3 linked regions of the Tamandua tetradactyla genome follow. The protein of the gene in region 1 interacts with the protein of each later gene in a pairwise test. Links are inferred from orthologs where the notes say so. Each region holds a gene or a part of one and is shown on either strand. Other genes may lie near its edges.

Region 1 (7,692 bases):
TATGTGTCCCTATCACACTTACCCTCTACTCTCCCAGAAAAAAAGATAAAAGAGTATGTAAACTTAGGAAAGAAATTCCACTCTATCCTATTACCTCTCAGGAAGTCCCTCCTGTTGTCTAAATCAGATCCTTTGTGCTGCCGACTGAGTTAGTAGAAACAGCAAGGCCCAGAAGCAATGCACAACTTGAGCTGGGGACTTCTGGGGGAGGCCAGCTGTGAGCCAGACAAGCCTCCCTCCTGGCTGAATGTGTGGAGCAGCAGAGAGGACTTCGAAGGCAGAAAGGCCTGGGCTCAAACCCTCAATGGCTGAATGCCAGTGGACAAGTTATTTAATCTCTCCTAGTCAGTTTCCTCCTCTGCAAAATGGGAATAACAATCCCTACTTTAGGAGTATCTTTGGGAAAGTCAAATGAGATTATGCATATAAATCTCCGGACAAATACCAGGGACCCAACAAAGGTCCAGTCAACCAGCAAGGCTGATGGGTTCCACCCCTTTATTAATATCTCTCAGTTCCACCTGGGCCTCAGTTCAGATCTCATCTTCTCTCAGGCCTGTCCCAGGCTTCTCACTGGTCTTCCTGCTTCCAGGCCGGTCCCTCCCACTTACCCTCTCTGCTACTGCCAAACGCATGTCTCTGAAACAAATATCTACTCCCATCCCTCCCCTGCCCCACACTCTTCTCTGACTCACCACTGACTTCAGGAGAAAATCCCTCTCCCTTGTTTGACGTTCCAGGCTGCTGATGACTGGCCTGTGTTTACCTCTTACAGCTCATCTATCATAGCTAACCCAACCACCAGACCACGGGTGTTGCTTCATGCCTCCAAACCTTTGCACATTCTGCACCCATGGCCAGGAATGACTTCCGCCTCCCGGGCCCCTCATCCTTCCAGTTGAAGCTCAGTAGCTCCAATACCGCCTCCTTCCCAGGAAAGTTTCCCGTATCATGCCCTCTGCCTAGGGCAGGATTGGGGACTCCTTCTTAGGCATCCCCCAACACATGTAACCCTGCATTATAATCACCTGCTCTGCCCTCAATCCTCTGGGGGCACAGTAGAGTCCTTCATGTCTGAGCCCCAGCCCCTGGTACCCAGAAGGCACTCAGTCAGCATTTGTCGACTGAATGTGGGCTTGATCCCAGTGTGTACCTGCCTGTACGGTACCATCGAGGCACTGTCTCATCCCCTCTTTCCCATTTAGTCCGAGAGGCCAGTGGCAGTTTCTAATTAATTTTTGTCTTCACTTTCAAATGGGGGAGTGTGATTCAAGGAGGAGGGATGGATGCAATGACTTCTGATGCTTAAAGTATTAGATATTTGCAATTTCCTCTTCTAAGTCATAAGTCAAGTAGAATCCCGTGGTTTACAGAACCAGGCAGTCTATTATCTATTTTGCTCTTCTCTTCCAAATTCCTCAGGAAACCCATCTGGAAAGGTGGAGAGGGGCCTCCAGGGGCTGCAGGGGTGCCTGTGGGGGACGGCAGGGGTTTAGCCAGTCCTGAGCTCCACGCTGCAAGCAGTAGTCTTACCCTGCCCAGTGAATCCCGTAAACTGAGGAGAGCCCTGAGATGGAAGAAAAATGGGAGAACCAAGGTCCAGAAGGGTGAAGGCAATCACCCAAGGTCCCCCCAGTGAGTTAAAGGAATATCAGGGGAGAGTCACGGAAAAAGTCCTGGCCTCAGAGACAGGATTTCCAACAGACGCCTTTGGGGCCTGGCTGCCCTTGGTGGCCCCATCCTGCTGACAATCCATGACAAGCCAGTGACACTTCTCCCCAAGACGCAAAGAGGCAGACCAAGGCCCAAGAGGGCTGAGTCACCCTGATGGTGAGGCAGGAGCAGCAGAGGAGAGGAGCCGTGGCTCCTGACTCCCACTCCGCCCTCGGGAAGGAAAGCCAGACCTCACCATTCAGAGGGTCTTTGCTCCTGGGAAGATGCACGTGGCGCAGAAGGGAGTCTGAGGGCAGAGACCTGGGCCATAGGGCTGGCCAGGCTGGCTGAAACAGGGAGCGTCCATCGCGTCGAAAGCAGGCTTCTCGTGATCTTCTGCAGTTGCCTACAAAGCCGGAACCCCCATGCACACAGCAGAGAACCCCACCCTGGCCCCCAAATCCAGGACCCCTGAGGGACTTGGCAGTGCCCAAAGTGAGCCACAGAAAAATGGACCAAGGGGGTTCCAGCTTTTGCCCTATCTCTGACCCTTCTTAACCATAAGCAAGTCAGGTGGCCTCTCAGTGCTCTAGTTCCTCTACCAGAAAACAGGAAGAGGAAAATTAACCTTCCAGAGCCGTCAAGAGGATGGCTGGGGAACAGTTTGTAAATGTTAAGAGGATATGTTATCTCTGAGCCTCGGTGTCTTCTTCCAGAAATTGGAAATGATTTCTGGAGCACCTTTTTCAGCTGTTGAGAGAATCTCAGATGGCAGTGGGTGAGAAATCACTTTGATGGTGGTCCCAAAATACCATGACAGGGCCATTTCTCTCCAGTCTATTAGCACATTCAGGGAAAAAATGTGCCTGTGCATCTTCAATCTCCAAACTATGCCTTGTACATAGTAGGCTCTCGATAAATGATCATTGGAAACAAGGAGAGAGGGGGTAGGGTGGAGCAAGGGAAAGGAGAAGGGAGATCAGAGACAAGGAACACAAGGATAGGACAAGATAAAGAAAGAAACAAATGAAAGAGCGGCTTGCAGAAGCAGTAAGAGGAGGAGACAAGGGAGGGGCTTCTGTCAGAACTTAAGGGGGTGAGAAGAATTAAGGACAGAACCAGGGAGACAGAGGTGAGTACCGGACCGGGGCTTGTCTGGGTCCCACGGAGCAGTCTCTGCGGGTCGCCTTGCCCCTGCATCCTCTCCCCTTTTGCCCCAGTTTCCCATTTCAGAAGCATGGCCACTCCCTTTCCAGTCAAAGTCTTTCAGGGCAGGCTGCTCAGAAGACAGGAGCCCCTTTCCCCACCTCCAGCTCAAAACAAATCCTGGCCAGCCACGCCAGGCCTCGGGAACCAAAGGGAAAGGAAATAGAGCCCATGGATCCTGCTTTCCCCAGGCTCCCCCACCCCGTGTGTGTGTGTGTGTGTGTGTGTGTGTGTGTGTGTGTGTGTGTGTGTGTGTGTGTGTGTGTGTTTCCGTGTCTCACCGTGCGGGGACTGGAGGGAGCGGGTCAGCAGTCCCGAGATCTGTTAGCTTGTTCCCACGGGGCGCCAGTCTGTGTGGGTGTTATTCTGATGTGTGTCTGCATGGGTCAGTGTTGTTGTGGTCTGGTGTTGGTGAGATATGTGCCAGCACAAGTGAGCGTGTCAGCGAAGGTAACACTGTGTGTGTGCCTGCAGGAGTGTTTATGACAATTAATGCAAGAGACTATGTATACCGGTGTGCGCCCACATGCATGTGCCAGCATGGGGGTATGTTGGCGTGTGTACCCGTGGATGCCAACAGTATGAATATGTTGACAATGAGTGTATACTGGTGTGTGCACCAAGGGTGTCACTGTATGGGACGAATGTCTGGTCGTGAATGTCAGTGTGTGTGCCGGCATGAGATCGCCCGAGAATGAGTGTGCCCTGTGTACCCACGAGTGTGTGTGCCATTGTGTGTCAACCTGCCCCCGTGAGTCCCTGCGTCTGCCCGCCAGTGCTGGGTGTCTGCGAAGGAGTGAGTGTGTGTGAGTGTGTTCCGGCGTGGGGCCGACCTGTCCTCGCCCTTTGGGTACCCTGGCCCACGGCCTCTCCCGGGGACCACACGAAAGACCTCGGGCGGAGGAGAGCTGGGAGCCAGACCACGGCAGTCCTCGGGTGGCCGCGAACGCAGCGCCAGGACGCGGACTCGAGGCCCCGCCAGAGCTCTCGCCCAGGTCGGCCAAACGCGTGCCGGGCCGGGCCGTCGCCCGCACTCACCGTGTCCCTTTGTCGCCCATGGTCCGCGGCGGCCGCAGGGAGGTCCGCGGCGTCAGCGTCCAGCCTGGAAAATCCCCGGCCGGCAGGAGGAGCGCCCGCCAGCCCGCTCCCGGCTCCCTGCTCCGCCTCCTCGGCTCGACCCGCAGCCGCCGCCGCCGCCCCCGCCCCCGCCCCCGGTCCCCGCCCGCCGCCCCGCTGCGCCGCGCAGCGCCAGGGCAGCGGCCAGGGGCGTGGAACCGTGCGTGCGTGTATGTGTGTGTGTGTGTGTGTGTGTGTGTGTGTGCGCGCGCGCGCGCGCGAATGTGACTGTCTGTCTGTGCCTGTGTCTGCCTCTGTGTGTGTGCGCGAAGGCTCGAGCGCAGGGCGGTGGTACGGGTCAAGGCTCCGAGGTCGGCATTTGGGGATATACATGGGCATATGTCCAGCTGTATGCCTCTCTGTGTGCGTGTGTACGTGTGTATGTGAGGGAGCACGCTGGATTGGGTAAACGTGCGCCTGTGTGCACGCGAGGGTGTGTGCCGGTGCGGGTGCGTGGGTACGGCTGTGTGCACGGGCCTATTATAGAGTGTATTTGCGTGGTTAGAGGGGTGTGCACGTTTTTGTGCAGTTGTGCGTGTGTGCGCACGCCGTGGGTGCGAGCGCACTCTCTTGCGCACACCGGGGGCAGCCTTTGCGAGTGTCGGTGGGTGGAAGCCTCAGGTCTGCCGAGCCCCGGGCCAAACCCCTGGCGGCGTCCGGATGGTAGTGGCTGGGGTTAGGGGTCGGTGAGACTCCGGGCGCCTGGCAGGGCCCTCGCCCTAGGCACCAGCCCCTCCCTCGCTTCTGGAGAGATAATAACGAACAGCCCTACAGGGACAGGAAAAAGAGGAGGAAGGGGCAGGAGAAGGCAGTGTCGACGCTGGAGAACTGATAAGGGTGGGGAGACAGGAGGCGAGCCGGGGCTTCGAGTGGCAGCCCAGGAAGAGGAAGCTGTGAGAAGGGGAGAAATGGAGTACAGGAAGGGGACATAGAGCTGGCCTGCTGCGTGCTTGGCAGTCTAGCCTCGAAAGCACCCGGGCCCAGCTCCACCACCTGCCGGGGGTGACCCTGGACATCAGCCCTGTCATAGCCAATTTCCAAACCTGTAAAGTGGGAATATTAATACCAGCCTGGAGAATTGTTCCTAGGAGTTGTTCCTAGATTGAAAGCACTCACTTGTGTTTGCTGAACTCCCCGAGTGCCTGGCATGCAGTAGGTGCCCAGTAAATGTTAGGCCACTCTCTCCAGGCTCCTTGGTGTCCTGTGAAATGCTGGCTGACATCCTTCTTTGCCTAAGGTCCCTGACTGCTTTGCAGTGTGAGGTCTTCCCTTCAGGTCACTGCTGGGATTTGGTCTAATTGACCCTGATGGATCCCTAATATCGGAGTATTACTGAGAGAAAAGGAAGCTGTAATTTACTCTGATGTGATTGCAGGTCTGTAAACATCTCCTGTAATTATGTTCATATATACATATATATATATATAGTTGAGTAATGATATCCCAGTATCGTTCAACATAATTACTGTAATTATGTCCATATTGGGGGAGGGGGAGGAATGGGCAGGCAGGGTGGTCCAAGGTCAGGGTCAAAGCAATGTTAGGAGCCAAGAGAGCGTGGATTAGGGCCCAGAACCCCCCTCCCTCCTTGGCCTCTGGGCTCCAACCTCACCCCCACAGCGGGAGGAGAGGAAGTCACCTGCTGGGTGTGGGAGACAGGGAGCGGGAGACAGGGAGCATGAGAGGAGCAGACCAGAGGCCTCCTTGATGACAGGAGGTTCACTCTGTGAGCCAGAGAGGACCCGAGCCAGAATGGAGAGGCCAGGGCCTGCCAGCCTCTGCACCCCAGTTTCTCCACCTATAAACACTCATTCACTCAACCCAGAGGATCCTCTGTAGTTCTGCCCATGCTAGTGCCCAAATCACAAGTGCAAATAAGTTCAGTGAGTCCAGGGAGCTGCATCTGATGGTTCCAGGTACTCACTGCCCTGCACAGCTTTTCCCAGGTTGGAAAGCATGGCGTGAGCATTCTAGGGACGCCAAACGGATCGCTAGACTGTGGAGGCAGGCATTCAAGATGTCACGTATGTCCCACTAGCCTGTAAAATTCCCAAGAGAGGATGTGGTGTGTCTGGCACTAGTTAGCACCCACAATTAGGTGAGATAAATGCTCTTTACCCTATTTTATAAATGAGCAAACTGATGCTCAGAGAAGCTAAGGAATTTGCCTGAGTCCACAGCCTCCTCTGGACCTTGGCCTCTGACCTCCCTTCCTCTGGCCCTTCCCGAAGGGGAGTTAATTCATAGGAAAGCCAGAATTTGACCTTTGATTATAGCCTTTATTCAATAGCTTTTGTTTAAGTTTTCTTAAATTTTATTTTTATTTTTTAAAGGAGTTGTAGGTTTACAGAAAAATCCTTATTCTACCCTCACTCATGCATCTTTCCCTATTATTAACATTTTGCACTAGCATAGTACATTTGTTACAATTGATGAACCAATATTATTATATTAAATTATCGACTGAAGTCCATAGTTTACATTAGGATTCACTCATTGTACTGTACAGTTCTATGGGGGGGGTTAGTATTTATTTATTGTAGTAACATACCTCTGCTGGTTTGAAATTGTTACGTATCCCAGAAAAAGCCAAGTTCATTTAATCCATTTTGGTAGGGGCAGACCTATTGTGGGTGGGATCTCTTGGTGAGGTGGTTTCCATTTAGATGTAACCCGGCTCATTCAAGGTGGGTCTTAACCCTTCACTGGAGTCCTTTATGAGAGGAAAAAAGACAGGAAAAGCCCAGAGAGCTCAAAGAGAGAAATACCAAGAGGGCTTGGAGAGAAAAGCTCTGGGAGAAACAAGAAAGGACACACAGAAACTGAAAGAGCCAGAACCTGCAAGCAGTGAAACCCGGGAGAGAAGGATCAGCAGCCGCTGGCCCTGTGCTTTCCCGTGTGACAGAGGAACCAGGATGTCAGCAGCCTTTCTTCAGAGAAGCTATTGTCTTGTTGATGTCTTAATTGGGACCTTTTCATGGCCTTAGAACTGTAAATATGTAAACTAATAAATCCCATTGTAAAAGCCAACCCATTTCTAGTATATTGCATTCCAGCAGTTTTAGCCAAGGGAGACAATACTATTTCCCATTTTAACCACTTGCAGGAATACAGTTCAGTGGCATTAATTACACTCACTGTGCTACAATCACCACCACCCATTACAAAACTTTAAACAGTACCCATTAAACATTAACTCCCCATTCCCCATCCCACCCCTGGTACTCTGTAATTTTCTTTCTAGCTCTATGAATTTGGATATTCTAGTTATTCCATATAAGTGAAATCATTCAATCTTTATCCTTTGGTAGCCGGGTTATTTCACTCAACATGCTGTATGTCATCAATGTTGTAGCATGTATCAGAAATTCTTTCCTTTTTACTGCTAAATAATATTCCATTCTATGTATAAGCCACCTTTTGTTTATCCATTCATCCATTGATGGACATTTATATGTTAGTTTCTTGACTGCTAAAACAAATACCATGCAATGGACTGGCTTAAACAAATGGGAATTTATTGGTGCACAGTTTCGAGGCTAGAAGTCCAAAGTCGAGGTATGAGCAAGGCTAATGCTTTCTCCCTGAAGACTGGGGCATTCTGGGGCTGGCTGCCGGCAATCCTTGGTCCTTGGCTTTTTCTGTCTTCTCCTGTCTCTTCTGGATTCTGCTGACTTACAGCTTCTTGCTTCTTCCCATGACTCTCTCTTTCTGTGG
Region 2 (7,546 bases), on another chromosome or scaffold:
CCCATGTAACAAAAAACGGAAAAACAAAATACAATAAAACAAGAAAATGTTTAAAGATGTTTCCCTTTCTTCCTTCCTTCCTTCCTTCTATCCTTCCTTCCTTCTCTCTGTCTTTCCTTTAAAAAAAAAAAAAATGTTGTCTTTTCAGCCAATTCCAAATAATAAATGTTGCATATTTAAAATATCACCTATTCTCATTTTCAACTAAGTCAAATTATAAGTTGGTTTATATATTCTGTGACCTTCCTTTCCATGTCCCAGGTCCTTGGGCTAAATTTACAGTTTATCTACAAGAAAGACAAAAATAAAAGGTGGTTTAATATCTTTCAGTGGGCAGAACAAACAATTTAGAGATGAAGGACTGCAATTATTTGATACATTCTGGTAGTAATTAAAGAAGAGTATAACAACTAGGTATAATTTTCTACCTAATGAAATATCAGTGACAACCTCATGTAAATAATTGAAATAAACTTGTTTTGGGGTGACAGTACTAATTAATAGAAAAATTCCATTTGGAAAATGGCTTGATTATATCCACATATTCACTCTTTTGAAAAATTGTGAGATTTTTAAATGTTTAAAACTTGAGGAATGATTAAACAAGTCACAGCACATCTACCCAATGGACTATTATTTAGCCACTAAAAATATGTTTAAGGGCAAGGAATTTATGGTTAAGAAAATAAAATATGCTTTTGATAGTTTATATATATATGGAACTATTAAACTTTCCCATCTGGGAAACCCCAGGTACCCTCTCAACCATTGGAGACTCCCCCAAAAATTAGGCAAGCACTGAATTTTTTTAAAAAATATTTTTATTGATAAAACAACACACAAACAATTTTAACATACATCATTTCATTCATGGTGTACAATCAGTGGCTCACAATATTATCACATAGTTGTGTATTCAACACCATGATTATTGTTTAGAACATTTGCATCACTCCAGAAGAGAAATAAAAAAGAACAAACTTATACATACCACACCCCTTATCCCTCCCTCTTATTGACCACTAGTATTTCCATCTACCAAATTTATTTTAACCTTTGTTCCCCCTATTATTTGTTTATTTTTTTATTCCATATTTTTTGCTCATCTGTCCATACCCTGGATAAAAGGAGCATCAGACACAAGGTTTTCACAATCACACAGTCACATTGTAAAAGCTATATCAGTATAAAATCATTTTCAAGAGACAAGGCTACTGGAACACAGCTCTATAATTTCAGGTACTTCCCTCTAGCCACTCCAATACACCATAAACTAAAAAGGTATATCTATATAATGCTTAAGAATAACCTCCAGGATAACTTCTCAACTCTGTTTGAAATCTCTCAGCCACTGACACTTTATTTTGTTTCATTTCTCTCTTCCCCCTTTTGGTCAAGGAGTCTTTCTCAATCCCTTGATACCAGTCCTATCTCCTCCCAGGATTTCTATCCCATGGTGCCAAGGAGATTTACACCCCTGGGAATCATGTCCCATGTAGAGCGGGAGGGCAGTGAGTTCACTTGCTGTGTCAGCTTAGAGACAGAGGTCACATCTGAGCCACCAAAGAGATTCTCTGGGGGTTTCTCTTAGGCCTAACTTTAAGTAGGCTTAGCCTATCCTTTGCAGGAGTAAGTTCCATAGGGGCAAACCCCAAGATCGAGGGCTCAGTCTATTGATTTGGTTGTCCCACTGCTTGCTAGAATATCAGAAATTCTTCAAATGGGGCAGTCAAGCACTGGATTTTGAGACTTGCCCTTACAAAGCTTAATTCTGTAGGGGGATACCCATAACAAGGCCTAAGAGTTGCTTCCATGAAGCCTCTTTGTTGCACAGATGTGGCTTCTCTCTAAGCCCAACTCTGAAGGAAAATCATTACCTTCCTCTCTATGTGAACATGACATCCAGGATTGAAAATCTCACTGGCAATGTGGGACATGATTCCCAGGGATCATGGGATCAACAATGCCTTCCTGACCAAAAGGGAAAAAAGAAATGTAACAAAATAAGGTATCTTTGGCTAAGAGATTTCAAATAGAATGAAGTCTATTCTGGAGGCTACTCTTACGCGAGTTTGAGTTAGATATTACTAATTACGATGGTTTGCCAAACCCCAACCAAGACCATTCCTGTTAACCCTAAAAAATACCTAGGACTCTAATCTGAGCTTCTATGAAAGTTTCACACACTAAGATTACTGTCCAGAAACCTACAACCTCCATATGGTTCCTCGGCCAAATAAGTCCTGACATCCAGAGGGGCCAGCCTCTCCAAGAACATCAACCAGTTTCATTCCCCTATCCCATATCATCAATATCCCTTTCCAACATGAAAAAATTAGAATGACCATAGCCCAAATACCCCTCAAGATTAGTTGAAGGATCAAAGGAGAAGGAGAAGTTATAACAGAGAAGTTATGATTTAACAAATGAGTATGACTGCTGAATCATTATATTGCTATTTCTTTTAGTTTCCAGTGTCATGGAGCAGCTAGAAGGAAAAACTTGAAATTGTGGAACTGTAACCCATATCAAACTCTGAAATCTGTTCTATAACTACTTGTTGCAATGTAATTATAACTTTGAAATTTATTGCTTTTTTTGTGTATATGTTATTTCACAATAAAAAATATTTAAAAAAAAAAGGAGGGTTACAAGGGTGAGCCAACCTCCTATCTATTTCAGCATTCCTTTCCTAGACAAAAGCAAACGGGAAAGAAAGCAATAGTAAGGAAAAAAATAAAATAAATTGCCCTAGCCCAGTTAATTCTCAATTATTTTATGTTCAGTCAATACATCTATCATCTATAGATAGTGACAACGAACTTGTTTTGTTTGTTTATTCCAATTTGACATCATTTTCTTCCTAATTTCTTAAATGTATTTTCAGAATTCCAGTATGTCAAAATCAAATAATTCAGTAGGGCGAGTACTCCTTAAAATATCAATTCCTGTAATGTGACCAAATTGTTAGTTAACAGATATAAGTCTCAGCTCATCAATGTATAGCCAAATAATTACTTTTCTCCTGATTTAGGGAAAAATAAATATCAAGTTTATTTTAAGTAAAGACCCATTTTTCTACCCAAGGAAATAACTTATTTTCTTGGAGAGACCTCAGACATGAGAGAGAGAGAGAGAGGGAGAGGGAGAGAAAAGAAAGAAAGAAAGAGAAAGAGAAGGAAAGAAAGGGAGGAGAGAGAGGGAAAGAAAGAAGGAAGGATGAGAAAAAGAAGGAAAAGAAGGAAAGAAAGAAGCTAACTCCAAAGAGAGAGAGGAATATATATTATGCTTTGATGCCAAGTGCCAGGATTATTACCAGCTGACAGGATAATTTTTTTAACATAAGAATTTTTAAAAAGCTAGGACTTCCTTTAAAATATTCTGATAAAAGAATGAGTCTGGGTTTGCTTACATCTCCCCAGTACAGTACATCTTTAAGCTGTTGCCAGAGAGAGGTCTTGAAGCATCAGTGGGAGCCCAAGGCTCCTTTACTTGGATACCACAGGCTCCTTTGAAGCACTGTCTGTGCTAAAAATAAAAGTAAAAAAATAAGCGTGATTATTATATGATTTTGGGGATTCTTCCAGCTTTAAGATTCTGTAGAGGATAAGGGGGTTAGACGAGCCTCCTTTGTCCTAAATCCCATAACTCACTCTTTCAGATGCTTGAGGAACAAAAAGACAGGTAGGGAAGGCTGTTGTCCCTGACTAAGGCATTGCTGAGTCACTTCGTGTTGGTGAATCCACCTGGGTTCAGAGGACAGAGATGTCTCAGAAACGTTCTGCTCTGGGTGGAAAGGGTAGACTAACCAAACCCAAGCACCAATTTATGAAGTAGCAACGAGCAATTTAATAGCAAAGGCGCCAAGCACTCCCACCCCTGCTCCCAGCTGCGCTCTCTATGGGCACCTACTTGGTCGCAGATGGTTTTTAGAAGGGGTGGGCATGGAAGACTCCATATTGGGTGGCTCACGGAAAAGCCTGATGCGTCCCCTATACAACAGAGGCGCATGTGCCGCGGCTTGGGTGCGTATCACTGCTCTCTGCCCTTGAACTTGGATGGACAGACCAGCATTATCCTGACACTCTTCATTTTCTCCCTCCCTGATTGAATAGGCTTCCCTTCAGCAGGACGTCGATTCCTTACTTAGATATGCTAAAACCTGCCTTCCCTGCGGTCTGTCCAGTCCTGCCCGCCTGGGCGCTCGTCTGTGAATTTTGGGGTTGGAAATTTTTTTCCCTTTCATTCCAACTTGTGTGGTGGGTGGGTGGGCAATCTCACTGCTCCCCTCTCCCGGCCACTCCCGGATCCTCCTGGCGAGCCAGGCCAGGTGGGCCGAAGGTGGGAAGGGTAGGAGGGTGCTTTCCCGCGGTGGAACTGCCCAGAGAGCTAGGTTCTCAGTCCGGCGAGAAGGGCCCGGTCCAGGATTGCGAAGCAGCGCCCTCCCCGCGGCCGCGGGCACCCGGCGGGGAACCAAGCAGGGGCGTGTCCCCGCGCTCACCTGCCATTGGCCAGGTGGGGCGCCCGGCCGGGGGCAGCGGCCGCGCTATAAGCGTGGAGCGGGGGCCGCGGAGCTCAGCGCGGCGCAGGATGGTGGACAGCGTGTACCGGACCCGCTCCCTGGGAGTGGCGGCCGAGGGGCTCCCGGACCAGTATGCAGACGGCGAGGCGGCGCGCGTGTGGCAGCTCTACATCGGGGACACCCGCAGCCGCACGGCCGAGTACAAGGCCTGGCTGCTCGGGCTGCTGCGCCAACACGGCTGCCAGCGGGTGCTCGACGTGGCCTGTGGTACCGGGTGAGCCCGGGCGGGAGCCGGAGCGGGGAGCCGGGGGTGGCTGGGGGCAGCTGCGGGAGCGCAGGGCCGCAGCCGGGCACGTCGGGGCAGCCTCCCCTGCCAGTCCGATCGCAATCGGTGTGTGCCGGGGCAGAACGGCTCGGCGAGTGTACAGGCGAGGTCGATGGGGGGAGAGTGGTGAGGAGACCAAAGTGGGAATGAGGGTGTGAGCACAGCGCTTTGGGGAAGGCAGAAGGTGCCTCAGGGCAACAGAAGACCCTGGGCTTTGGAGCTAAACCTATGGTGAGCTCGGATTGGGCTCACGGGTTGTTCCTAGTTTGCTGGCCTTGGGCAATGATAAGGTAACATCTGTCTGTGCCAAGTGCTTTGCCAGGAGCTTTTGATAACATTTGTTAAAGATCCTCACAAAAACCCATAAAATAAGTTGTGGGAAAATGGAAATTAGGCTGCAGAGAAATAAAGGTCTAGTGGAGAGAAGATACAGACTGAAGTTGGTTAGTCTGGCCTGTGCAGGAAACCATTTCCCTTATACTGCCTCCTGTGCACAAGTTCCTGAACTAATCCCAGCCTCAGTTGCTAATGTTAGAGTTGGATACCTCCATCTACTAATAGGATTGCTACGAGAATTAATGCTTAGCTGTGAATAAGTGCTTAAAGAAAAAGTTGCTACCTGGTGATAAGAAACAGATTTATGAAGTCATCCTTGGTCAGTGGAGAGGGCCTGGGGTGGGGGGTGGTGTGGGAAGAAGAGGAGACGGCTCTGAAGGTGAGACAGTGTCCAGCACAGGGCCTCCTCCTTGCCCTCTCAGCGCCCCCACCCCCCAACTGCCCCTGCCTACCTGTCATCACTGGCCCTGTCCAGGGTGGACTCCATCATGCTGGTGGAGGAGGGCTTCAGCGTGACCAGTGTGGATGCCAGTGACAAGATGCTGAAGTATGCGCTAAAAGAGCGTTGGAACCGGCGGCACGAGCCCAGCTTCGACAAGTGGGGTATGCAGGTCCATCCAAGCCTTCTCAGCTCGGTCACCAGGGACAGTTCTCTCTGCTCTGGGTGACTTTATCCCATAGTGGACTCTCTATTTCTCCAGGGGGACATTAAGAAGATCAGAGTAAAGTACTGCCATTTCCCTTAAAAGGGAGGCTTAGGTGCCATAACAAGCATTGGGACATGAGGAGCTAATTTTAAATGTTTATAGTGCCCTGTACCCCACAAATAAAAACCCATAAGCCCTCCTTTCCCATCATGGTTTCCTTCTCCTCCTCCTCTGGACCCTCTTCCCTCCTCACCTTCCATGTCCCTTCCCTCAGCTGGATGGGGAGTCCCTGTGTACCTGTCTAGATAGGAAAACTGAGGCAGGACTGCACTTGGTAGAGGTGGGTGCTACTGATACCATGGAAATGATGCTGCCGTTTCTTGGCTCCCAGTCATTGAAGAAGCCAACTGGATGACTCTGGACAAAGATGTGCCCCAGCCACCAGGGGGTGGCTTTGATGCGGTCATCTGCCTTGGAAACAGTTTTGCCCACTTGCCAGACTGCATAGGTGAGAGAGGGTATGGCCCTGGGCATGGCCTTGCCCTAAGCTCTACCCTTTCTAGAGACCCCTTCTCCTGGTGCCTGCTCCCTCACTAAAGCAGAGTCTGCTTTGTCCTTCTTTGCCTTGACACTGGCACTGCTGGGAAGGGTAGAAATGGGAGACTGGTGCTGGGGTCCCCTGAGCAGACCCTCCCTGCCCCTGTCTGGAGCTCAGGGGACCAGAGTGAGCATCGGCTGGCACTGAAAAACATTGCAAGCATGGTACGGTTGGGGGGCCTGCTGGTCATTGATCATCGCAACTACGACCACATCCTCAGCACCGGCTGTGTACCCCCAGGGAAGAACATCTACTACAAGGTGAGGCCTGCTGGGGGAAGGCAACCCCAGGTGGGAGGTGTGGCAGGGTTCCCGATGGGTTGCTGAGGCTGATGTTGCACCGTGGCCTACAGAGTGATTTGACCAGGGACATCACAACGTCAGTGCTGACTGTAAACAACAAAGCCCACATGGTGACCCTGGACTACACAGTGCAGGTGCCAGGAGCTGGCCTGGATGGTTCTCCTGGCATGAGGTAACCACACAGCTAGGCCACGGGAAAGGAGGAGGTGGTGGTCAAGGGGGAGCTACCCCCATGGTTGATTGGGGTCTCTCTTGCAGTAAGTTCCGGCTCTCCTACTATCCACACTGCCTGGAGTCCTTCACAGAGCTGCTCCGAGAAGCCTTTGGGGGCAAATGCCAGCACAGCGTCCTGGGAGACTTCAAGTCTTACAAACCAGGCCAGGCCTACATTCCCTGCTATTTCATCCACGTGCTCAAGAGGACAGGCTGAGTGGCCTGCTTCTGTCTGGGGAGGTGGGGACCAGCAGTCCCACATCAAGCCCCAGCCCCAGTGCAGAGACTGGAGGTGTGGAGAGGGGTAGACTCCAGGGCTGGAGTGCAGGGATTTGGGTTCAGGCAAATGGAAAAGCAAACAATATAGCTGTGGCCTTCACAGTTCCTGCATGCATGCCTTGTGTTTCTGTCTAGAGGATCAGGCTCCTGTGGTCCTCACCCTTGTTCTCCCCTAGAGCTTACCGACCCTACTACTTGCCCTGTACCCCTCCAACCTTTCAGCCATACCACCAGCAGGGGGCAGCATATACTTTATTTTCAGCACAGATCTGCCCACCCCCACCCACCCACACACCACCCCCCCTTCCAGGGCTCAATCCCCAG
Region 3 (7,387 bases), on another chromosome or scaffold:
ATTACTAACTTTCAGGAGATACGGAAAAGCACTTTAAATTACACTGCAGAGATGAAATCAGGAAAAATCCCAAATGTGGAAACACTATAGAACGACAAAGCTCTCTGACAAACTGCAAGAAATAAACTACAAAGAAAACAACAACAAAAAAGAATAGAGAAGGAACCTACAGATTAAAAGAAGTTGAAAGACATCAAACAATCAAAATGTGGATGACCTTAGCTGAATCAAATGAACACACTGTGAAATAAATGATAAAAACACGGGACAACTGGAAATTCGAATACTGGTTATCTGATTATTTAAGGAATTATGGCTCTTTCAAGTTAGAAAGATTCCTCACCTCTTAGAGACAACAAACCAAATTGATGAGGGGGAGGGCATAAGGCCACAGGTATAAGGTATGAAATTAAGGAAGGTGAGAGAGGAAAGACGACTGGGCGTGAGCTGATAACCGCACAAGCTGGGTACTCTTCTAGCTATTGTCATATAAGTTTAAAAATCTCCATAAGACACAGTTAAAATAAAAGCCTGACAGACAAACTATCACAGTTTACAGAAGGCCAAGTACCAACTTAGTTATTCTTCAGGAAAATTACATGTAACTGGAACCTTAGAAAAGGTAGTTTCTTCTTTTTTAAAAAACAGTAAAAAAAAAAAGTAGTTTCTCTTTTACTCTATGCATCATGAAAACGGGAACGTATCTACTCTATTAACTGCTCTGTCTGGAACTTTTCTTCATCCAGAAAATCATGACAATTTTACTTTAATGAGACAAACATGAAATTCAAGTGTACTCGGCATAACATTTTGGGGACCCCATAAATTATTTAAAGTCATGGCACTCTGAAAACTCAATTCTCAGGAATGCCAAAGCTTTCCAGAGAATACTGTGCCAAACGGGATTCTTTTTAACCTCTCAGGATCCTTTTGCAGGGAGAACAAAAGGTTTAAAGGAGGAAAGGGTCATTTACAACAAATTCAATTAAAAGCCAGAAGACAATACTCAGAGCTAAGGGACTGTGGGAAGGCCACTGGGTCTGCCCGGAGACCTGGATTCAGATTTCACCAGCAGCTGCCTGGTGGGAAGCCACCGTGTCAAGGCAGCAGGGACAACCCTCTCCCCGGGGAGTGTGGACGTCCTGGCTGCTCCCCCCAGAGCTGCAGGGACAGCAGGAAATACCCCGGCCCAGCTCCCCGGGCCTCAGGCGGCTTTCCAGCTTCTCCCCAGCAGCAGGTCCCCAGACTGAAATTCCTGCCGACAAGCTGCATGGGGTTTATGTTTAGCTTGGCTAACATAAACATAAGCATTAAAAAAAAGAGTATAATTACTTATTGTCGGTATATAAAAACAAGGAGACTGAACTTAAAAATCTAGAGCGCCTCTGCTGCCTGGCAGAAGTCACCGCTCCCACCCGCCTCCTCTCCCATCCAGACCCGACTCCATCACCACCTGTCACTCCTGCCTGTCTCTACAGCACGGCCCCTCCACTGCGGCAGTTACCCGCTGTTCCGGAACTGTCTGCCTGGCTCCTTCTGGGGTTCTCAGGCTCTCTGGGGGAAGGGACCCTGCCACCATCTCCTTTGTGTCCCCTGCACCGGCACAAAGCCTGACCTAGATAACACGGAACTCACAAGTGCCTCCTGCATGTAGCAAAATAAGCTCAAGCTAAGACACAAATATGTAGCTTTTCCATCCATAGCTTGCTCCAATAGTTGCCAAATAAAGAGGTCAAGGCCATGAAAATGTTTCACAAAATGAGAACAGGCTTCCATCTGCTTCCAGGTTCCACTAGCTAGCCCGAAATTACTAAAGGACAGGTGAACCAGAGGCACCGCCAGGTCTCTCTTTAGATCATTCATTCATTCACTCAACTGATATCACTGCTACTCACTGGATGCTTTCTCAGCACTGAGAAGACAGCAGTGAACAAATCACAGAACTACCTGTTTTCACAGCGCCTACATCCTAGTAGGCAAACAGAAAATAGGCAGCAAATAAATGGAATGGTTTCAAACCAGAGTAAACTAAGAAGAGAATTAAAGCAAGGAGACAGAATGACTAAGGGAAGACAGAGGGTGGTCAAAGAAGGCTATTCATGCTGGCCAGAGGCAGGAATGCTGAGGGGCCAGCTCTGCAAAGACCCCAAGCCAACTCCAACCCTGGGAAACAGCAAGTGTAAAGGCCCCGGGAAAGGCACGTGAGGGGCTGTGGGTGGGGGGAGTGGCAGGACAGCTGGGCAGGGAACACTCAGGAGTGGCCTGGCTTTGAGTGTGCAATGACAACGCACTGGAGGAGTGGGGGCGATGGGGGGGTCTCCTGCCACACACTGCAGCAGGAGGCTGTATCCCTCCCACTGGTGCACAAGCATGCGGGGCTACCGCTCCAGGCGCCCGCACACAGCCGCACACCTGACCACAGCCCTGCCCAGGCCAGTGGGTGTTCCCTTACTTTCTCCAGAAGAACATCCAGGAGCTGCGAGGGCCCCGCCTCGGCCAAGGTCGCGGTGACGAGACCCGGGCTCCCGCACGTCCCGGCGCGGCTGCGCGGCTGCGGGCCCCACGGTCCCGAAGGCGGGCACCTGCGGACCTCACCCCAGCCTCATCCCCGGCGCGTCCCGGCCCTGGAGCGGGCCCCAGCCCCGGGTGCTGACCGCCGCGGGGGAAGGGCGTCCGCCGCAGCCGCGAGGCCAGGGCGGCGCCGGCCCGCGCAGCACCGCAGCCCCCGCCCGCAGCTCCCCGCAGCTCCCCCGGCAGCCCCACGACCCCCAAGTCCCCGGCCCTCCAACACCCTCGCAGCCCCCGGCCCGCAGCGCCCCCCGCAGCCCTCCGCCTGAGACCCCGGCCCGTGCCCCTGGCCGCAACCCTCCGCCCTCCGCCCGCAGCCCCCGGGCCGCAGCCCCCGCCAGGCCTACCCGCCCGCCCCGCAGGCTCACCTCGCTCCCGCCGCCGCGCCGGACGGACAGGGCTGGCGGGCGGCTCGGAGGCCCCACGCTGCTGCTCGCCCCCCGCAGCCCGCCCGGGCCCGGCCGCCGCAGTGGGTGTGAGGGCGCCCGGCGCGTAGCCCCTTCCGGTCCCGCTCCTCCTCCCCCCGCGCCGCCGCCGCCGCGGCGCCGGGCCCGACTGACCCGCCAGCCGCCCAATCAGCGCGCGGAGAGCCTGGCCCAATAGACTCGGCCCGGCCAATCGCGCCGCGGGGCGGGCCGCGGGGGCGGACCAGGCCAGCGGGAGGGGCCTGGGGCGCGGCCCGCAGCCTGAGGTCCGGGTGCCGGCGCCCGAGGTCTGTGCGGCGCCTGCCGAGACCCGCGCGCCCGGAGCCTGAGGTCTTGGTGCGGACGCCTGCGGGTTCTGCAGAGCCCGGATGGGGCCGAGAGGGTGGACCGACAGGCTGACCGGACCGAGAGCCGGGCGGGTGGCGGCGGGGACAGGGCAGGAGCTGCCCAGGATCGCGAGCGAGGAGCGGAGAGAGGCGCGGGGACGTGGGTCGCTGCGCGGCCTCCGGGAGCGGGTTTGCCGCGGGCGTGGCTACAAGCCATGGCGGGGCGGTGGAAAGCAAGAGGAGGCGAGGAGGTGGGACGCAGACGTCGACGCTCCCCCGGGGCCGGGGAGGGACGCGAGAGAGGCGGGGCCGGGGCTCTGGATGCTGGGGGTAAGGAGGTCCGAAGGGGCAGCCTCTGTGTCAGAGGAGCAAAGGGGCAGATTTATACCGAGGGAGGGGGCGCGGGGGGGGGGGGGCCGCGGGAGGCCGGGTTCTGTCTGCTCGGAGCTCTCTGGAGGCGTCTCCCACAGCCCCGCCGTCCCGCTGGGGACTGGCAGGCCTGAGTTTTCTTCCCGCGGTGGGTGCATCTCGGGCGGCGGGAGCACCTCGGGCGGTGGGGTCTGCCATCGCGCCTGGCTGAGCGACCTGTCCGGGAGGAGCTTGGGCAAATTTAGAGAAAGCTCAGCGGTCAGGGCATACCGGGAGGAGGCGGGCTGACTTTGGGGGCAGGCAAGTAGGAAATGGTGGTCGGTAAATGGGAAAGCAGCAGTCATAGGACGCCGGTGCGTGGACTGGAGAGCTGGGAGCAGGGCCCTCTGGGGAAGTCAGGGGCTGGGGACCCCGGGCGGGGTGAGGCTGATGGCACCGGGGTCTCAGGCCTCGGGGAAGGGGTGGGATGGAGGAGCTAAGGGAGCCTCGGGCCCCTGACCTTGGCCGGCAAAGGGGTGACCGGCTCATTCCTGCTAGAGCGAGGCTGACAGGAGAGACAGGTCCAGGCGGCCTGTCCTCACCTCACACTGACCTGCCTGCCACTTGGCCTCAGGCATATTTGCATGATCAAAAACAAGTATTTTGGCAAACCAGAAAAACCTTTTTGCCCGGGAACACTCAGGGGCCTGCTTTTACAGCACCCACCTTTCAGGGCACCCTTCACTCCATGCCAGGGAAGAGCCAGAAATCACTGTACGTTGCGCACACACACACACACACACACACACACACACACACACATTCCACACTAAGTTTTCTATAAGGAATCCAGTCCAAAGATACTGCCTTTTTCTGCCTTATGACATGCAGTGACATTTGCAGATGCACAGTTGGGGTGACAGGTTGGGGTGGGGTCTCTGCCTTGGAGGGGTGCACAGAATCCTTCCCCCACCCCGTGCCCACTCTGGCTGCACATGTCCTGGAGGAGACCTGCTGCTGGTGGCCCCTCAAGCTGGCAGTACCACTGTGCAGGCAAAGGGCAGCCAGCTGACTAGACGTGTTACACAAGGAAGGGGTCATGTGATTGGGTGTTTGTTTTGGGAAAGTCACTGGGGCATGAGAGGTTTTTTTGGGGGAAGGGGGCATTGAGGAACTTAGGGTTGTCAGACCAGTTGGGGTTGTGAGAAAGCATGAGACCCTCCCTGGGGCCACAGCAGCAGGTGCCAAGAGGGAGAAATTGATTTTAGAACTATTCAAGTCTTTAGGTAAATGAGAATTAAAACTATAGTGAGGTGCCGCTCAGCACGACTTAGCATGGCTAAAATTTTTAAAAATCGGACGATACCGACTGGTATTGTGGCCACGGAGCGACTGGAGTGCTCACTCCCAGTTGGCGGGAATGCAAAATGGCACCGCCTCTTTGGAAAGCGGTTTGATGGTTTCCTTTAAAGTTAAGCATATGTGCGCCCTACAACCCAGCAATCCCATTCCTAGGTATTTATCCAAGAGAAATAAAAATGTGCCCATACAAAGATCTGTGCGTGATTGTTTAGAGCAGCTTTATTCCTGACAGTTCAAAAGCTGGAAACCACCCGTGTGCCCCTCATCCGGAGAGCAGATAAGCCGCATGTCCAAACAATGGAGCGCGCCACAGCAACCAAAAGGAACTACATGCTGACAAGGTCACGGCGTGGATGAATCTCAAAAACATGCTAAGTGAAGGAAACCAGCCACAAAAGCTGATATCCTCCATGATTCTGTTTATATGACATTCTGGGAAAAAAGGAAAGTCAGATCAGTGCTGGCCAGAGTGGGAGGAAGGGACTGACAGTAATGGACAAGAGAGAACTTTCTGGGGTAATGGATATAGTCTATATTTTGATTTTGGTCGTGGTTATATGAGTATATATTTGCCAAAACCAAAGAATTATTTTATGAAAAAGGGCCTTTTTGTTTTTAATTGGTTGACTTTCATTTTTTAGAGCAGTTTTAGGTTTACAGAAAATTGAGCAGATAGTATGGGGAGCCCCCGTATACCCTCCAGTCTCTGGATTACTAACATCTTTATTAGTGTTGGTATTTGTTACCATTGACTAAGCAGTACTGATCCGGTGTTAACTCAGGGCTCAGGCTTCACTCCCGGCCTCCGCCGCGCGGCCGCCCCCGCTTCCGCCACGCGCCAGCCACGCAACCACCCCCCCCCCCCCCCCCCCCCCCCCCCCCCCCCCCCGCCTCTGGCAGGCACCTGTGGTCGCAGTCGCACAGACGATCCCGCGGTCCTGACGGTGCCCCATGCATCCCCGCTTCATCGCTTGCCCCTTTCCAGCCCCCGTGCGCCCCTTCCCCTGCGGCTTTGCGGCCCCTGGGTGGGCTCCCTGCCGGGAAGGCCGTGGGCCCTTCCTGGCTTCTGGGGTGCTCACCCTCCCTTTCCCCGCCTCAACCCGCAGCTCCCGCCCCTCCGTGATGCCACAGCTGCCGGACACCGAGCACCGCTGCCGCTCGCTTGCCTGGCAAAGGAGAGGAGGGCGCAGGAGGGCGGGGAAGGGAAGGGAAAGGAGAGCAGAGGGAGCTCTGGCCTCGACCCCTGGGCTGGAGGGTGGGCAGTGGGGGCGCCCGGGTCCGCATGCACAGTCCGGGGCTGGGCTTCCCATTGCCCCATCTCGCCCCCTCGGGGACCGCCTGGGCTCCATCCCATGGCCCACGGCCCACCCCCCACCCCCGAGGCGGCCTGGGCTCTGAGCTGTTGGCCCTGCTTTCCTGCTTGCACCTCTGGACTGGGGCTTCCCTTCTCCGAGCCTCAGTCCTGTGGGCAGCGGGCTGGACAGTCGGGGCCCCTGAGGACGCAGCAGGAAGGTGGGCAGGTGCACTGGGTGGCCTGGGTCCTCGGTGGCTGCTTCCCAGGCGGACCAGGTGCGCCCTACAGACCTCCCACAGCCCGCCGCCTGCTCCCTGCTGGGGCCCTGGGCTGTGTTTGCCATCCCAGCCCCATCCCTTCTTTAGCAGCTGTATCTCCGCAGGACTTTGGAGAACCCCCTTGTGTTGCGGGCTCTGTCCCCTGCACTCCAGCCCCAGGCGTCGCCCCTCAGTGTACCCGGTGTCCTCAGTGATTGCTTCAGGGATGGGCAGCTGTGCCGGTTTGAAGCTATTATGTTCCCCAGAAAACCCACGTCCTTTAATCCTCATTCAGTGTTGCTGGGTGGGAGCTTTTTAATTGCTCCTATGGAGATGTCACTCGCCCAATTGTGGGTGGGACATTTTGATTAATGGTTTCCATGGAGATGCGTCTCTACCTATTCAAGGTGGGGTTGCTTCCTGGAGCCCTTTGAGAGGGAACCGTTTGGAGAAAGCTTCAGAGCCCGCACAGCCAGAGACCATTGGAGATGCGGAAAGAAAACACCTCCGGGGAGCAGTTGAAGAAATCTGGAGAAAACTAGCAGACCTCCCATGTGTCTTCCCAGCTGAGGGAGAAAACCCGAGCTTCATCAGCCTTCTTGAGCCAAGGTATCTCTACCTGGATACCTTGGTTTGGACATTTTCATAGCCTTGCTTTAATTTGGACATTTTGAAGGCCCTAGAACTGTAAACTTGCAAGTTAATAAATTCCCTTTTTAAAAAGCTGTTCTGTTGCTGGTATATCGCATCCTGGCAGGTAGCAAACTAGAACAGCAGGTAACCCTGTTCCACCAATAGGGAATGTGC

Evidence for each region.
Region 2: the proteins of ARRB1 (region 1) and GNMT interact in binary tests that used the Homo sapiens proteins (3 or more experiments, as listed by UniProt). The link is inferred for Tamandua tetradactyla from reciprocal best matches to the Homo sapiens genes ARRB1 and GNMT.
Region 3: the proteins of ARRB1 (region 1) and MAPK9 interact in binary tests that used the Homo sapiens proteins (3 or more experiments, as listed by UniProt). The link is inferred for Tamandua tetradactyla from reciprocal best matches to the Homo sapiens genes ARRB1 and MAPK9.

Annotation. Positions count from the first base shown.
Region 1 is NC_135334.1:70,220,279-70,227,970, reverse strand, and holds the start of ARRB1 (beta-arrestin-1), read right to left. Parts: upstream 3,057-7,692; 5' UTR 1,984-3,056; coding exon 1,910-1,983; intron 1-1,909. UniProt on the Homo sapiens protein: Functions in regulating agonist-mediated G-protein coupled receptor (GPCR) signaling by mediating both receptor desensitization and resensitization processes.
Region 2 is NC_135331.1:100,554,820-100,562,365, forward strand, and holds GNMT (glycine N-methyltransferase), read left to right. Parts: upstream 1-4,502; 5' UTR 4,503-4,590; coding exon 4,591-4,796; intron 4,797-5,658; coding exon 5,659-5,786; intron 5,787-6,221; coding exon 6,222-6,338; intron 6,339-6,545; coding exon 6,546-6,688; intron 6,689-6,780; coding exon 6,781-6,902; intron 6,903-6,988; coding exon 6,989-7,160; 3' UTR 7,161-7,324; downstream 7,325-7,546. UniProt on the Homo sapiens protein: Catalyzes the methylation of glycine by using S-adenosylmethionine (AdoMet) to form N-methylglycine (sarcosine) with the concomitant production of S-adenosylhomocysteine (AdoHcy), a reaction regulated by the binding of 5-methyltetrahydrofolate.
Region 3 is NC_135346.1:1,029,967-1,037,353, reverse strand, and holds the start of MAPK9 (mitogen-activated protein kinase 9), read right to left. Parts: upstream 3,074-7,387; 5' UTR 2,937-3,073; intron 1,990-2,936; exon of another isoform or gene 1,505-1,989; intron 1-1,504. UniProt on the Homo sapiens protein: Serine/threonine-protein kinase involved in various processes such as cell proliferation, differentiation, migration, transformation and programmed cell death.